3 linked regions of the Caenorhabditis elegans genome follow. The protein of the gene in region 3 purifies or fractionates together with the protein of the main gene of each other region. This does not show direct contact. Each region holds a gene or a part of one and is shown on either strand. Other genes may lie near its edges.

Region 1 (4,357 bases), on a different chromosome or scaffold from region 3:
AAAAATGACCAAAACTTTGACATATTTCTCGAAAAATCAATTTCCGGAAATCGAAAATTTTTTAACTAACTAAAAATTCTCATAGAAAAAAAAACATCATCGATTTTTACCTGAAAATCTAAAAAAAAAAGATATATATCGAGTATTTTTAATGTTAAATACAGAAGGAATTGGCAAAAGATGGCCAAAAATTATTTTTCCGGCAAATCGGCAAATTGCCGGAATCGACAATTTCCGGCAAATTGTGGCCTTGCACATTTTTTTGGAACTTTTGAAGAATTTCAATTTAAATAGGCAAAGAAATTTTTAAAAAAGGCATCCAATGAATGTTCTTACATCTATTTTAAAAAATTAAAAATTCTATGAAAATATCTAACGAAAAATGGGAAAAAATTTTAAAAAGGCACAATTTGGAGTGTTTCCGTTTTAAAAAAATCGCTCTACAAATTTCCGTCATATCGATATCCGGCAAATAGGCAATTTGCCGAAAATGAAAAATTCCGGCAATTTCCGCACACGCCTGGGTCAATCGATATTTTTCTCACAAAATTCAAAAAGCTGACTCACCCGGCTCATCAGGAGTTTTCGAATTAATATAAATAACTGTGAGAAAGACGAGAAGCGCGACGACAGGAATAAAAACGTGAACAGCTGAAAATTCATGAAAATCGGTTGAAATTAATTTAATATATTTAACTCACATTCAACGAGATTATAGACGGCGTCCATGTTTGACAGAGCCCCAAGTTGCCTTCTTGCTCCGAGAGAGAAAGAGCACACACTACTGCGCTTGATATCGATTTTTGTGTGCTGCGAAAAGCGTTGAAGAAAACGGAAAAGGAGACCTCCGTTACGAAAAAGATGTGAAAAAGACGAGAGAGGGGGGGGGGGGAGAAGCTCGGATAATAAAATGAATAAACTGGGAGAAAGAGGAAAAGACTTTTGTGGATTTTCAACAATTTTTTAGTAGCAAAGATTCGGAAAATTAGCCGATTTTCCTGAAGAAAAGTTAGTATGAATAAAAAAAATAAATTGACGAAATTTTTTTGAACTTGGAATCCACTTTCAACAATTTTTGAATACAAAGATTTGGAAAATTTGGCGATTTTTTGCGGAAAAATTAGTAGATGGATGGAATTTTGCTGAAATTTTGCTGGGATCCACCGAAAATAGGAAAAATAGCTTAAATTGCGAATAGGTTTTGCAAAAAAAAAATTTTTGTTGAATTTTTGAAAAAAAAGCAATTTTCTAGAAGAATATTTTATTGGTTTTATCTAGTTTTTTGGGAATTTTTTTTTGAAATTTTTCCAAAATCTGGGATTTTTCACCATTTTTCCTTTTTTTTGCGTGATAGTTTGAGATTATTCATGATTTTTCTTCTCTCGAGGCATTTTTTCGAAATTTATTCAACAAAAATTACATTTCATGGCTTTTTTGATCTTGTAGCGTGCCTTTTTATCCAAACAGTATTTAATTTTAGGATTTTTTGGGTAATTCTGAAATTATTACGGGAACACAATTCTAAAAATGCGTATTGCACAACACATTTGACGCGCAAAATATCTCGTAGCGAAAACTACAGTAATTCTTTAAATAACTACTGTAGCGGTTGTGTCGATTTACGGGATCTCGATTTTTGAAATTAATTAATTTAACGATTGAATATTAAAATTAATTTTCTTTAAAAAAAATCGATATCCCGTAAATCGACGCTACCGTATTCATTTAAAGAATTACTGTAGTTTTCGCTACGAGATATTTTGCGGGTCACTCAGAATTTTGCGTTTCCGTAATATTAGTGTGTTTCTTTTTTCGATTTTCCGATACTTAGACAAATTATTTTTTTTTTTCGAAACATGTCTATAAATTTTAGCTATTTTTCTTCTTTTTTTTTGAGAAAAATGTTTTTTTTCCTATTTATGCATTTCCTCATCGACATAAAAAAATTAACACAGATTTTAAAATTTTAGTTTTTTTTTCTAAAACATTTTCTGATTATCTCTGAAAAAAAAACCGAAAAATCGATATTTTGCTTCTCAACTCATAATAAAATTCCAAAATTCCAGAACATCCGCAATGGCAACTGGTAACCGTAATCCGGAGAACTTCACATCATTGTCACCAATCGTAAAGGCTCCAATAACCGATACTCTTTCGGTTCCACTCTCCCAACAGGGACGTATCTGCGGATTCTTTGAATCTCAATTCTACCGTTGTATGGAGGCTTACGGAGCAAAGATGGGACGCAAGTATTGTGATCTCGAGCATCGTGACTTCCAGGAGTGTGTCACTGGGGATAAACAGAAGAAGGTTCGATATCCGGAACAGAACTGTCGCGAAAAAAAATTGGACTAAAAAACAAAAAATTAGTGAAAACCAAATAAATTTGATCCCTTGAATTTATTCTTTTAACGGAGGACTAACGGTTCGGACGATTTTGAACGTATAGACCCAAAATGTTCTCAAATGAACGAATTTCGTAATGAAACTTTTCAAAAAATTTCCAAAAATTTTTTATGGCGGTTCAAACTTTTGAAAAAATTACACTGATTTTGGCTAAAATCTCGAATTTTGCCCATTTTTCCGTGTCACATCTGTTCGAAGTTGGCTTTTTTTGGAATTATCGTCCTTTATTACATATATTGGTAATTAATCTCATTTAATTTCGTGGATCAAATAACATTTAAAGCCGATAGGTAACCAATTTCGATGATTTTTGGTTACCTATCGGCTTTAAATGTACTTTAATCGACGAAATTAAATGAGATAAACTACCAATATATGTAATAAAGGACGATAATTCCAAAAAAGCCAACTACGGACAGATGTGACACGGAAAAATGGGAAAAATTCGTGATTTTAGCTAAAATCAGTGTTATTTTTCAAAATTTTGAACCGCCATAAAAATTTTTTAAAAATTTTTGAGCAGTTTCATTACGAAATTCGTTCATTTTCCGGAAATTTCTAAAATTCTAATTTAAAAAAATGTTCCTTCATTTTTCTGATTTTTGAGTTTATTTTCTCGTCTTCTTTCATGCAATTTTTCCGATTTTTCTCCTATTTCTAAAGAAAAGAAAAATCGAAAACTCTGAAAAATTTGGTTTTTTAACTTTTGGATTTTTTTTGTTGATAAAATCGAATATTTTTGGTTTTCGATTTTCCTAAAAATTTAAATGTGTGTTCTCCAGTTTTTTTGCCCTGAAAGAGAAAAAACTACCATAATCTTTTTTCTGCGCATCGAGACCCATCTGAATAAACCCGTGCGCCTTTAAAAAACATCACATGAAATTCCAAAATAATCGAAAAACAATTTTCCAGAGAGCTGACGCCATCCGTGAACAACGCTGCAAGCTGTTCCTCGACGGAAAAATCGCGAAGCCATACGTCGACAATCATCCAGAACCGGGACAATTCAAGACTGATCACTTCCAGTGGAATCGTATCAACTAGATACTTGAAGTGCCTTTAGTTTCGAGAGAAATCGCCTTATTTTTTGTAGTTTTCATTTCTTTTTTCTTTTTAATCTTTTCTAAGTACATAAAAAGATTTATAATAAAAAAAAAAAGAAGCAAGTTAAGAGATCAATAATAGTCCGGGTAACACATCCAATGACACAATAATATCTATATCTATAATGAAATATGAAATTAAAAATGGAAGAAAAAGTCGCCGCCACCACGGCCGCCACCACCACCACCGCCGAATGGATTAAATCCGTGGAAATTATGAAATCCGTGTGATCCTCCACCTCCACCTCCACCCCTCCCTGCTTCCGAATCCAGTGGATCTTGTCCATTATCGAAAGCTCGCCGCTTCTCCTCATTGCTCAAAACTTCCTTCGCCGCGGCAATATCGATAAACTTCTTCTCAGCTTTCTTCTTCTCCTTCTCATCCTGAAAGTTGTCCGGATGCCATTTTTGAGCCATTTTTCGATAGGCTTTTGTGATTTCTCGTTTATTGGCGTTCCGGCGGACTCCGAGAATTTTGTAGTAATCTCGTTTTCCGACGAGTTCCTTTGCACGCTTTGCTTGATCTTTTCCAGTTCGGACGGCGTCGTTTGATGAATCCCATTCTTCGGCTTTTTCGTAGTCAGCGATTGCTGGAAATTAGATTTTGATGATCGATAAATCCGTGAAAAGCAGCGCCGCACAGAAAAAGAGGCGGGGCTTATTTTTGCAATCCTGCGGCACGGTTTTTCCTCCTTTTTATTGATTTTTTTCAATGAGAAATTCTGAATTTCGTCAAAATTTTCTGTTAAAACGAAGAAATAGCGTGCGGAGGCTTGCGAAAACCTGCGCCGCACAGAAAAATAGGCGGAGCTTATTTTTGCAACCGTGTCGCACCGGTTTTTCCTCCT
Region 2 (6,952 bases), on a different chromosome or scaffold from region 3:
TTGTGAGAGATATGCTGCGATTTTTGCTTATATACTCGTTTTTCTTAATGGGATTTGCACAAGGTGAGTGTTTTCATAATTTCAATTGTCGAAGTATTTTCCAGCATTTTTTGTTATATTCAAATCCTGTGAGAGAGCAGAAATTGCTTATCAGAAAGCTCATAACTATACTGAAGACGATGAATATATTGAGAAGTAAGAAAACATTTCTTATCACGATTTTATACTACCTAATGTTTTTTAGATTTGAAAACATCATGGAAGATGGTTGGGAGGCAGTGATGAGAATGTTTATTATGAGTGTGGGAGAATTTGGTGCACTTTATAAAAACTTGAACGAGTGCAAAAGCAGCATTGCTCCACAGTCCAAGGTTACAAAAAAAGCTCTTTTCAGGCTTACAAGCTCGTTTTAAGGTATTTTTCATCCTCTTCGAGTTAATTGTGACTGTTATGCTTCTGAATCTACTAATTGCTATGATGACTCGTACTTATGAGAAAATTGCCGAAACTGAGAAAGAATGGAAGCGTCAGGTGATTTTTTTATACTTCAACATTTTATTTTCAAGTTTCACCATTTTACTTTCCAGTGGGCGCAAGTAATTTTAATGTTAGAGCAGTCATCTTCAGCCTCGGAACGCCTCCTATCACTTTATCGTTATACTCGGCCAATACGTTCCGATAAACGAAGAAGAGCATTTGTTGTGAAAGTGAAGTCGAATGTAAGTGAATCTATAAATTTTCCCTAATTTATACTAGAATTTGAAAAAAATTAACTTTATTTCTTATTGTACAAATTTGATGGCAAGACTTGGTGATTCCCGAATCCTATTAAAGGTTGTGTAGTCGAATATTTTTAATGCTTTATTAGACTTGAAATTGTCTGAAAACACCGAATTTCATAATGAAACTTCTTGAAAACTTCTCAAAAAAAAGTTATGACGCGTGAAAAAGTGACCTAAAATTAGTTAAATTTTGAAATTTGACCGACTTGCCTATGTCGCAGCGGCTGGAAACAATTTTTTTTTGAAATTACCGTCAAATTTTGAATAAACCGTGTAATTATCTTGTGTTTTCAACTTTATTTAGGTACTTTAAAGTCGATGGAAGGCAAGATTTGGTTTAAAATAATTTAAAAATCTCGCCGTTATTCTAGCGAATTTTGGGCCATTTTGTGAGCCGTCATAACTTTTTTTAAAAAGAAGTTTTCAAGAAGTTTCATTATGAAATTTGGCATTTCCAGACAATTTTGAGTCTAATAAAGCAATAAAAAAATTCGACTACACCACCTTTAATGTCTTCAGAAATATCCTAACTTGGTTTAAGCACATTTTGTTAGTTTTGTAAAAATTATAGGAAAACATAATTTTTGCTGAAACTGAAAAATTTGTAATCAAACTTTTCCTCTCGAAAAAAACCTCACAAAATTTATATCATTTTTTTAGTTTTCAAATATATTTTTTCAGGACCGCCAGCAACCACAACTCAAATTAATTCCACCGCGTGGAAAACCGTCAATCCGCTTGTCAAACAACAGTTCCATTCATGTCTTACATGTTCTATCAAAACATGCTTCGTAAAAACTAAAAAAATTTCAATTATTCGTTTATTAATTTTTGCCGTAATAAAGTGTTCATAGTCCTCGTCGTTTCATGCCATTTGGCCAGTGACGTATGTGCGCACGAAACGCGCAAGCGAGAAGGGATGCGTCAGCAATGAGTCGGGAAAGGCGTCTCTCATTTTTTGGACCTATTTTTGTGAAAAATGAAGTTATTTTTAGTTTTCCATTTAATATTTAAACAAAAAATGAATAAATTTGATAAATTATGCACTTTTTATAACCGTATTGTTCAATTTTACCCAATTTTTGAAAATTATCTAGTTTTTCTTTGAAAATCTAGTTTTTTCAGAATGCTTAGCCGCAACATTGGAGCTGTTCGCGGAGCCCATAAGGCAGCAACGACAAAACCAGTCGAAAAAGTGGCCAAACTTGGAAATGGATTGACCGTTGGAACTATCGACTCTCACAAACCAATTGCACATTTGGTTTTTTTTTAATTTGTTTCTTCTATCCGAAATCATCTTCAAATTTTAGGTTCTTGCCTTCAGAGCTGGAAGTCGCTACGAAAAAGCCAACCAGGCCGGACTCTCTCATACCATCAGAAATTTCGTCGGCAGAGATACCCAGGAATACTTTGGAAACACAGTTGTATGGACGTTGTCACAGACCGGAGGAGTTCTGGTGAGCAAGAAAAAAAAATCGATAAAGTTGAATCTACTGGGCGTTAGAAAAGAACTAAGAATTTTAATGTAAATTTGAAGAAAGATTGCATAATACATTCACAGTTTTTTTTAGAAAAGATTTGTTAGAAAAAAAATTTGGAATTAAGTATTTTGTATCAAAATTTCAGAAAAAATGTGGTCTAATTAACTTGGAGCAAAATTATCAAATTTTCATGAGCATTCCAAAAAGTCTCACAGACATAGCGAGGGTGATGTTTCAGAAATCCTTCACCTCCCGCGATCTTTTCGGAGTCTCCCTCACAATTCCACGCGAAAGCACTTCCGTCGGACTTTCCGTATTGGGACAAGTCGCTGGTAACCCAGGATTCAAGCCATGGGAAGTCGAGGATGTGCTGCCAACTATGCGCGCTGACAACGGATACAGAACCGCTTACGACTTGGTTGTTGACCAGATTCACAAGGCCGCTTACAGGTTTGGCATTGAGAAGCTTTCGAGAATTCATTGAGCAAAACTTTTTTTTTTAGAAATGGAGGACTTGGAAACTCAATCTATGCACCATGCTCTAAAATTGGATCGATCTGCACATCAACTTTGTCCTCATTTGCAGTAAGTTGCTTATTCTTATCTGCAAGTTTTCAATTTTAAAATTTCAGGAGCAGCACTTCGTCACAGGAAACGGAGTATTGTTTGCCACTAATGCTGTTCACGATGACCTTCTTCTCTATGGAGACAATCACGCCCCAATCAGAAGTGGAAACGCTGCGTCCCCATCTTCAAGTGCTTACAAGGTGAGTTCTTGAAAACGAATATTTATTCAGTGGAGTTGGATAACAAAGTCATAAATAATGTCATGAGAAGTGTCACGCATCTACCAACGTCTCTGGTAGCTTCCAGTTTGTGGTGGAGATGGAGCATCGTATCCTCCTGATGGCTGCTCTGGCTTGGCTGGTGGTGGGACGGAATAAGCTGGCTCAGCTGGATAGCTTGGGGATGGGTAGCTCGGAGATGGGTAGCTTGGGGATGGATAGCTTGGAGATGGATAGCTTGGAGACGGGTAGCTTGGTGATGGATGAGCTGGCTCTTGTGGAGCTGGGGATGGGTATCCAGAATCTGGAGTCTCTGGCTCTCTGACTGGTGGCTGTGAAGCTGGTGCTGGACGAGTTGTTGCTGGTGGAGCGCGGGTGGTTGCTGGTGGAGCACGAGTTGCTGGTGGAGCGCGAGTTGCTGGTGGAGCACGAGTTCCTGGAGCAGCAGTGGATCCACGTGGTGGTGGCTGTGGAGCGGATGTTCCAGATGATGGTGGGGTTCTGTCGTCTTGTCTTTGTGGGCATGGGCAGTAGTTGGCATCTTTTCCTGAAACAATTTAAAATGTTTCATCACTGTTTGTTCAAGAAATTCCTAGTAACAACAACAAAAATTTTACCTGGAGCTCCTGGCTTTCCAGCTTGTCCCGGGGTTCCTGGGAAGGCGTCGTGACCAGCGTTTCCTGGAGTTCCTGGTGCTCCTTGTGGTCCCTCCTCTCCGTCCTTTCCTGGCTCTCCATGTTGTCCTGGAAGTCCTGGCTCTCCCAACCATCCTGGCTCTCCTGGCTGTCCAGCTTGTCCTGGGAAGTATGTGGTTCCTGGCTGTCCGTCTGGTCCGTCGGTCCCATCGTATCCCTTTGGTCCTTGTTCTCCTTGATCTCCTGGGGCTCCCTCCTGTCCTGGGGCTCCATCTTCACCGGATGGTCCGGATTGCCCTTGAAGTCCTGGGAATCCTTCTGGTCCAGAGTCTCCATCAGGCCCTGGTGGTCCAGCTGGTCCCTCTGGGCATTTAATGCATCCTCCTGGAATATCGTGAGTGGTTGCAAGAGAGATACCACTGGCTCCACGTCTTCCTTCATCTCCTGGATGTCCTTCGTCTCCACGCTTTCCTGGGTTTCCTGGTGGTCCTGGTGCTCCTGCTGGGCATCCTTGAGAGTTGCTGTCGCAATTGCACATTCCTGGGTACACAAATCTCTTGTTACGGAGGAGGGATGGCACTGGATTGGCAGATTCTCCTGTTGGAGATTGAAGAATCAGGAGACGATCCCAAGTATCATCGGCAAGAACTTTGAACTCATCAACGCGTCCTTCAACTTCGGAACGAAGGTTGTTAATATCTTGAACAATATGTCCAATTGAGCAAAGAGCGGAGAAAACTCCGAGCAAGCAGACGCCTGCCCCAATATAGCCAAGAGTAGACATCGTTGAGAACAATGTTGTGTATTGCTTTGGTGAACACTTTTTTATACATTTTTCTCCGAAAAAACTCGAAAGCCGGCAAGAACTTGCAAGGGCAAGGGGGAGGCTGGGAAAACTTAGAAACTTAGACACGCAACAGATCGGGAAGAACGCGCCGATAAAAAATTACCGGTCCTAGTCGTATGACAGATATCGCAATGCGACGGATATTCAGTATACCTTTGGCATGAAGAGGAAAAAACTTGCTACTATTGTTTCTTTCCCCGAAAAAATGCAATCACTCATTTTGGATTTGGAAATAGAACAGAAAAACTTTGCAAATTTCAATTTCATTATCCACTCCACTGTTTATGTTATCTATACTATCATTTCTCACCTTTTCTGACACCTAGGGAGGAGAAGTGCGCAGAGATGCCGATTCGAAGTACGCGCATGTGATTGTCGCTGGAGAAGGAGCTGCCGGAAACAACACGAAAGCATTGGCCACCCAAGCAGTTCTCCTCACCGCACTTGGAAATTCATCACCAGTCAAGTAATACAAAAAAGGAATTACAATGTTCACACTTGAAATGATTAATTTCAGATTCAACACCGGAACCACTGGAGTCATCGCAAAAGCCGTCGGACAGAATGGATCGGCCAGCGCATTCCAAGCTGTTCATGCGGATAGTGGACTGGCCGGAGTATACCTTGTCGTTGAAGGAAGCCAGGCTAACCAAGCTGTTTCGAATGTAGTTGGAGCATTGAAGTCTTTGAAGGTCGCTGATATTGAAGGTAAGAAATTTTGTTTTTTAGAGTATAAATTTGATAAAATGGGATCACACTATTTTTGTACATCGATATTTCTGAAATTATAAAAAAAAATAAAAATTAAATAAAGATATGCTTCTAGGATGTTCTACAACATTCTATAATAAAATAGTCCAGAAAGCTGCAGAACTTTCCGGGGCAAAACTTTCAAAATTTTCGGAGAAAACTTTTTTCACGACCTAATACTTGACATTTTTGTATGTAGATTTACAATTTGAGCCGCCTTAGAGAAGGGCTTTTGTATAAATATGATTTTTAGAGGCCTATACTGAAAACCCAAAATATAAATTGTGTTCTTGTGGTAGAGTTGAACTTAACTAAACTAGACTAAAGCTAAACTATGCTAACCTTGTCGTAAAATTTAAGCGAAATGGAATATTTCTAGCACAAAACTAATTGCAGATTTTTAGGTTGATGGTAATTTCAAACTACTGTGACGTTACCGACTTAATCGGTTTTTGTATTAATTTCAACTTTCAGCCGTCAAGAAGCAGGCCTTCAACAACGCCTTGAGAGCCTCTGCTCATTCCGACAACTTTGCCATCGAGAGAGCCTCCCAACTCTTCCAGTCCCAAGACAATTACATTCAACAGATTCCAAATGTGTCGGCTAGTGATGTTGAAGTTGCCGCCAAGAAATTGACTACCAAGTTGTCGTTGGCCAGTTATGGAAATGTCTCAGAAGTCCCATATGTTGATACTCTGTGAGCATCTAGTTAAATTAAATGATTTTACTCCAGTAGACGAACGCATTTTGTTATTTTTTGGTCAATTTGTTTTCCGTCTCATATGACTATTTTTTTGCTGTCAATAAAAGGTACTAGACTTTGAAATTTGTTTGTTCAATGAACAAAAAAATAAAGAAATTATTCACGTAATCAAAAACAGACAGAAAAAAAAAGTAAGCTCGAATAAGCTTATACATATACCGAGGGTGAATAAGTGAATTGTAAATGTGAGAGTTAGGCTTTGAAACGTTCGGGAGAAGCGGGAAAGAATGACAACTTAAACGTGTAAAAACATGAAATTCCGTATAATCTAGTTTGGGGTGTGAGCATTGAAATGTGCAGGATAACAACAACAAAAAGGTGGGTTGAAAGAAATCTGGGAAATTAACAGTTATTAGCCGTGACGAACAGAAGCACCGGGGGCTCTGCACAAATGGGCCCGCGATAGACTACAATTAAATGAGACAAGTTCGAAGGAACAGAGTTGAAGGTGGGAAGAGGAGATGACATGAGCTACTGAGCTACTTTATAAGTGTTAAGGCTGAAATGGAAATGAATGTGTATGGGGAAAATTGGGACAAAAAAAGTACAAAAGTACAATGGGTACCCGGACCAGGTAGCGATTATCATGGAGTTAACTCTTGATGAGTAAAGAAATGGAGATGCGAATTAGACTGGCCACAGCGTGTTGGCGGAGCAGCAAGTGTTATGGATGATTTTTCCAATCGGTGTCTAGAAATTATATTTAATTAGTTACTAAGTTTCTCTATTAACATACCTTAATCAAATCATCATCAAGCTTTGCCCAACGGACACCGTAACTGCTTTGAACAGCAGACGCAAGCCGTTCCAGCTCCTTATCGAATCGGACGAAGAAGTAATGAATGGTATCGTCTTTGGTGACCAAGCAAAGCGCAGGCGAGCGATTCCCAAAGAAGCTCTCCTTATCCT
Region 3 (3,891 bases):
TTGGAGAATTCTCAATTCCTGTTATGAGTCTTCGTACAGGTTTCTCGCAAATTCAACTAAATACCGGATATCAACATACTCTGGACCCATCTGCATCTCTTTTTGTACGAATTGCAATGGAGGAAGAGTACTAATTCTCCTGCTTTTTAAACATATTTTTGAGACCAAAGCCGTTTTTATCACTACCTGTGTGTTATCTGATTACATGTAATATATGTTCTACTGCCCTTTCTTTCGCATAGTTTTGTAGTTAATTTTTAATGCATATTTTTAAAAAATTTATTGTTTTATTGGTTTATGGGTATTTACACTATATTATTTTTTAGAAACATAAACTTATTGGCGTAGTTGGTGTAGATAATCTGCGAGCCATTTCTGAAAGAGTCAAAAAAATCATGTTACTAAATGGTGTATTCGAAAACAAACAATTGGATTATCCGGTCTCTCAACTGCTACGCGAGCCAGTCCCTGGCTCAGTTTCGGCCATACTTCTACTGAGAGATAATCCTTGGCATGTTTCAGCATTGCTCTTTCGTCAATGTCTGAATATATTTTTATGGGAGAGTCAAAATTCTAACTTTATGGAATCTTACACTTGGGGAAAAAGAAAATTATATCGTGATAGGCGGCAATTGTCGTTTTTGAATAATATATTCCATCACTTGAACTCATTCTGAATTAAACGCTTGTGAAGTTTTAAAACTCTTCGGATAGATTTTTTGAAAAACCTCCAAAAGTGTGAAGGTTTCGTACCGAAACGAGACTACGGTAACGGTTATTTTCAACTGTGCGCAATGTTTTTCTTCCATTGTTTTTCAGTATTTTCGGATGTTTGTTGGTCTTTGCTCACCTCTTAGCGATCACATTGTGATATTTGGCCACTTCTTTCATCTCAATAAAAGCATTCGCTCGTTGACACAATAGTAACATGCATGGTCCGTCTATTAGCCTGTCTGATAAGTTCCAGATATCTTGGGATTCAAGATCAGCACTTTTCCACTCCATGACTTCTTCAGTTTTAAAATGCTTCACAGTTTTCTAAATAATCAGTTTCTTCTTCTTTAATTTTCATATATACAACTTACCTCTATAATCCCGAAGTTTTCTTTTGTTATGTGCTTCAGTACGGATTCATATTCATAGAAATAGTTCGGCAGAATAATTACAATTATTCTATCGACTAGGTTTGGATTTTCCAGTTGTGGCTTAGAGACTTCCGAGCGGTACATTTCGAATAGGTTAGATGCAAGTGACAGAAGTGAACTGAATTCGCTGAACCAGGTGATGCGGAAACTATTTGGATTTGTGCTCAATTTCCGGTACCATTTCCTGGTTTAACGCTAAATTTGAGATTTCTTGCTAATTTCATTTTGTTTCGTTAGTCAATATTTCTTTCATTGCATCAAATCTTTTCTTCTCAGTGCATCATTCAATTTTGAAAAACTGCCAAAATAATCCAGTACTTTTGGAAGCGGAGCGGTCGCGCTGCAGTAACCAGTCTCTGTGCCTCTCATTTTCGTCCTATGTCTCGAGACGGGCGGTCGCCGCGCCAATGTGCTTGCCTTTGAACTCTCAATTTGCTGTTGTGGCGTGATCTGTCCTTTCTCTATCGCATTCAATGTTTTCGATACCGTCGGAGTTTTATGTTACAAATGTTTGCTTCTGAATTTCCCGATAAGATAATTGTAAATCATTTAACTGAAACCCTGAATATATTTTTTGGCGATGTTGTGTTTTCTGGCGCATTGTTTATCGACTTCCTACTGCTGCCATTGAGTTGGTTTATCTCTTTCTTTCCGTTTTTCTCGTATGCACTGCTCAATGCAAACATTTTCAAAGCCTTCATTTTTCGAAAATTTCCTATTTTCCTTCTCTCGTGTAACTCTAGAATGCATGTTTCAAAAAATATTTTGTGTTTAGAAAATGGCCCCACCAACCTTCGCTGATCTTGGAAAGTCCGCCAAGGACCTCTTCAACAAAGGATACAGTAAGTTTCAATTTTATCTTTGTAGAGAGGAATAGTGTTAGGTCATTTATTCGCCTGATTAATTTTTTTCCAGACTTTGGATTCCTCAAGATCGACTCCACCACTAGAGCTGGAGACAACAAGGAGGTTGAGTTCAAATCAGCCGCTTCTCACAATATCGGATCCGGAAAGCTTGGAGGAAATCTCGATGTCAAGTACAAGATCCCACAATACGGTAAGCTCGTCTGAACATCTTATTGTCTACCCGCTAGATGGGGACAACCTCGTGACGCAGGTGATGCAATTGTATGTACTCTAAAACACCACGTGACGTCTAGCGACCGCTCAACAAAAATACAACATATTGTGTGAGAGATATCAATCATGTTGTTTCGTTTTCAGGAATCACTTTGACCGAGAAATGGAACACCGAGAACCAGCTCGGAACTGTTATCGAAGTTAATGAGCAATTCGGACGTGGACTCAAGGTCACTCTCGATTCTCTTTATGCCCCACACGCCGGAAAGAGAAGCGGAAAAGTGAAGCTCGACTGGGCTCTCCCAACTGCTAGAGTGAGTAGTCTTGTACATATTTTGGGTGATAAGATTGGCGAAGCTCGTCTCAAGCTTGACTGGAAGCATGATTGTTTCAGGGTTCGATTTTCTGAATGTAGAAATAGAGATTTCAAAAATCCATCTTTGTGAAATGAAACAAATTAGCCATTTACAGGTTACCGCTGATGTTGGAGTCACCTCTGCTCCAGTTATCAACGCTGCCGGAGTCTTCTCCCGTGACGGATGGCTCATCGGAGCTGCCGCCACCTTCGATTCTTCATCGAATAAGTTGGCAGCCACTTCTTTGGCTTTCGGACACTCCACTCCACAATACACCCTCCACTCTTTCGTTATTAACTCAACCGACTTCGGAGCTTCCCTTTACCACAAGGTTGCCTCCAACGTCGAGGTTGGAACTCAACTCGGATGGAAGGTAAACTTTTTAAAATCCTAGAACCAAAACTAAAGTGAATTTTCAGGTTGGTGGAAACGGAGCTGACTACGCTCTCGCCACCAAGTATGCTCCAAGCCGTGACCTTACTGTCCGCGCCAAGGTCAACAGCTCTTCCCAAGTTGCCGTTGCTGCCACACACTCCTTGTCTCCAGCTCTTAAGCTGACACTTTCCACTCAATTCAACCTTGCTGCCAATGATGCTCACAAGTTCGGACTTGGACTCGAATTCGATCCATCCAACTAGATCTTCCGATCACTTCCATTCTCCCATCAATAGCGTTCTTAAAATTCTTTTAGTCCTCAACCGTTGATTTTTCAATGTCGATTTATGTTCTCTAAACTTCGAAAAAAAAGAAATGTCATGCGCTATTTACTTTTCTGCTAAATTTTACAAACATAAATTATTGAGTTTCATCAGTGGCTTAAAATAGTAAAAATGATATGTACAAAACAATCCATGGGTTCTCGCGGAAAGAGGAGAGAATAACCGTTTTCTGTTTTGGAATGGAAAAGTGACATGGACAAAAAATGTAAATATTGATCATGGAACTACACGTTTTCATCGTTGGGCAGAGGTGTGTATGGTGGTTCAATGTTATTATTACGCCAGGAAAGATGCAAGTTGGTGGATGAAGGACGACGAGAGCCAATTCGTGATCCAATTCTTGAGTTTCCAGCTGTGTTCGCGTGTGTCAAGAAGAGCTCCTTAGAAGCTTCTGACATTGTGAATGATGGTCTTCTACTGGTGGCAGCTGACTTCAATAGTTCAATTTCTCCTTTCAGTTCAGTCTTATAATCGTGACGAGCGTCTGCTTGATCCAGCTTTTTCTTAAAATATACAATTGTCTCCAAGTTCGAGTTTTCTATCAAACCTGCAATAAATGCTGAACCATTGAAGCAGCAAACGCATCCCCTAG

The links. Proteins that work in one complex are often made in the same cells at the same time.
Region 1: the proteins of vdac-1 (region 3) and nduf-5 fractionate together in Caenorhabditis elegans (co-fractionation; one large-scale study listed by BioGRID). This does not show direct contact.
Region 2: the proteins of vdac-1 (region 3) and ucr-2.2 fractionate together in Caenorhabditis elegans (co-fractionation; one large-scale study listed by BioGRID). This does not show direct contact.

Annotation. Positions count from the first base shown.
Region 1 is NC_003279.8:3,000,557-3,004,913, reverse strand, and holds nduf-5 (NADH dehydrogenase [ubiquinone] iron-sulfur protein 5), read left to right. Parts: upstream 1-2,066; 5' UTR 2,067-2,076; coding exon 2,077-2,310; intron 2,311-3,318; coding exon 3,319-3,450; 3' UTR 3,451-3,554; downstream 3,555-4,357. Other genes in the region: Y54E10BL.3 (CcoQ/FixQ family Cbb3-type cytochrome c oxidase assembly chaperone), read right to left, coding at 568-651, 702-729; dnj-28 (J domain-containing protein), read right to left, coding at 3,648-4,099.
Region 2 is NC_003284.9:15,171,997-15,178,948, forward strand, and holds ucr-2.2 (Peptidase M16 N-terminal domain-containing protein), read left to right. Parts: upstream 1-1,907; 5' UTR 1,908-1,908; coding exon 1,909-2,043; intron 2,044-2,092; coding exon 2,093-2,239; intron 2,240-2,501; coding exon 2,502-2,713; intron 2,714-2,766; coding exon 2,767-2,848; intron 2,849-2,895; coding exon 2,896-3,030; intron 3,031-3,035; exon of another isoform or gene 3,036-3,110; coding exon of another isoform or gene 3,111-3,595; intron 3,596-3,665; coding exon of another isoform or gene 3,666-4,467; exon of another isoform or gene 4,468-4,485; intron 4,486-4,856; coding exon 4,857-4,996; intron 4,997-5,047; coding exon 5,048-5,238; intron 5,239-5,754; coding exon 5,755-5,981; 3' UTR 5,982-6,149; downstream 6,150-6,952. Other genes in the region: ocr-3 (Ion transport domain-containing protein), read left to right, coding at 1-63, 105-195, 245-371, 415-531, 588-719, 1,464-1,577; col-41 (Nematode cuticle collagen N-terminal domain-containing protein), read right to left, coding at 3,111-3,595, 3,666-4,467; pkhm-2 (PH domain-containing protein), read right to left, coding at 6,671-6,733, 6,780-6,952.
Region 3 is NC_003282.8:7,505,921-7,509,811, reverse strand, and holds vdac-1 (putative voltage-dependent anion-selective channel), read left to right. Parts: upstream 1-1,920; 5' UTR 1,921-1,923; coding exon 1,924-1,987; intron 1,988-2,060; coding exon 2,061-2,201; intron 2,202-2,368; coding exon 2,369-2,538; intron 2,539-2,695; coding exon 2,696-2,953; intron 2,954-2,999; coding exon 3,000-3,218; 3' UTR 3,219-3,391; downstream 3,392-3,891. Other genes in the region: plc-4 (Phosphoinositide phospholipase C), read left to right, coding at 1-134; R05G6.5 (Uroporphyrinogen-III synthase), read right to left, coding at 337-375, 427-542, 594-673, 851-1,038, 1,086-1,229; Putative sodium-dependent excitatory amino acid transporter glt-6, read right to left, coding at 3,524-3,802, 3,847-3,891. UniProt on the Caenorhabditis elegans protein: Forms a channel through the cell membrane that allows diffusion of small hydrophilic molecules. Plays a role in maintaining mitochondrial morphology.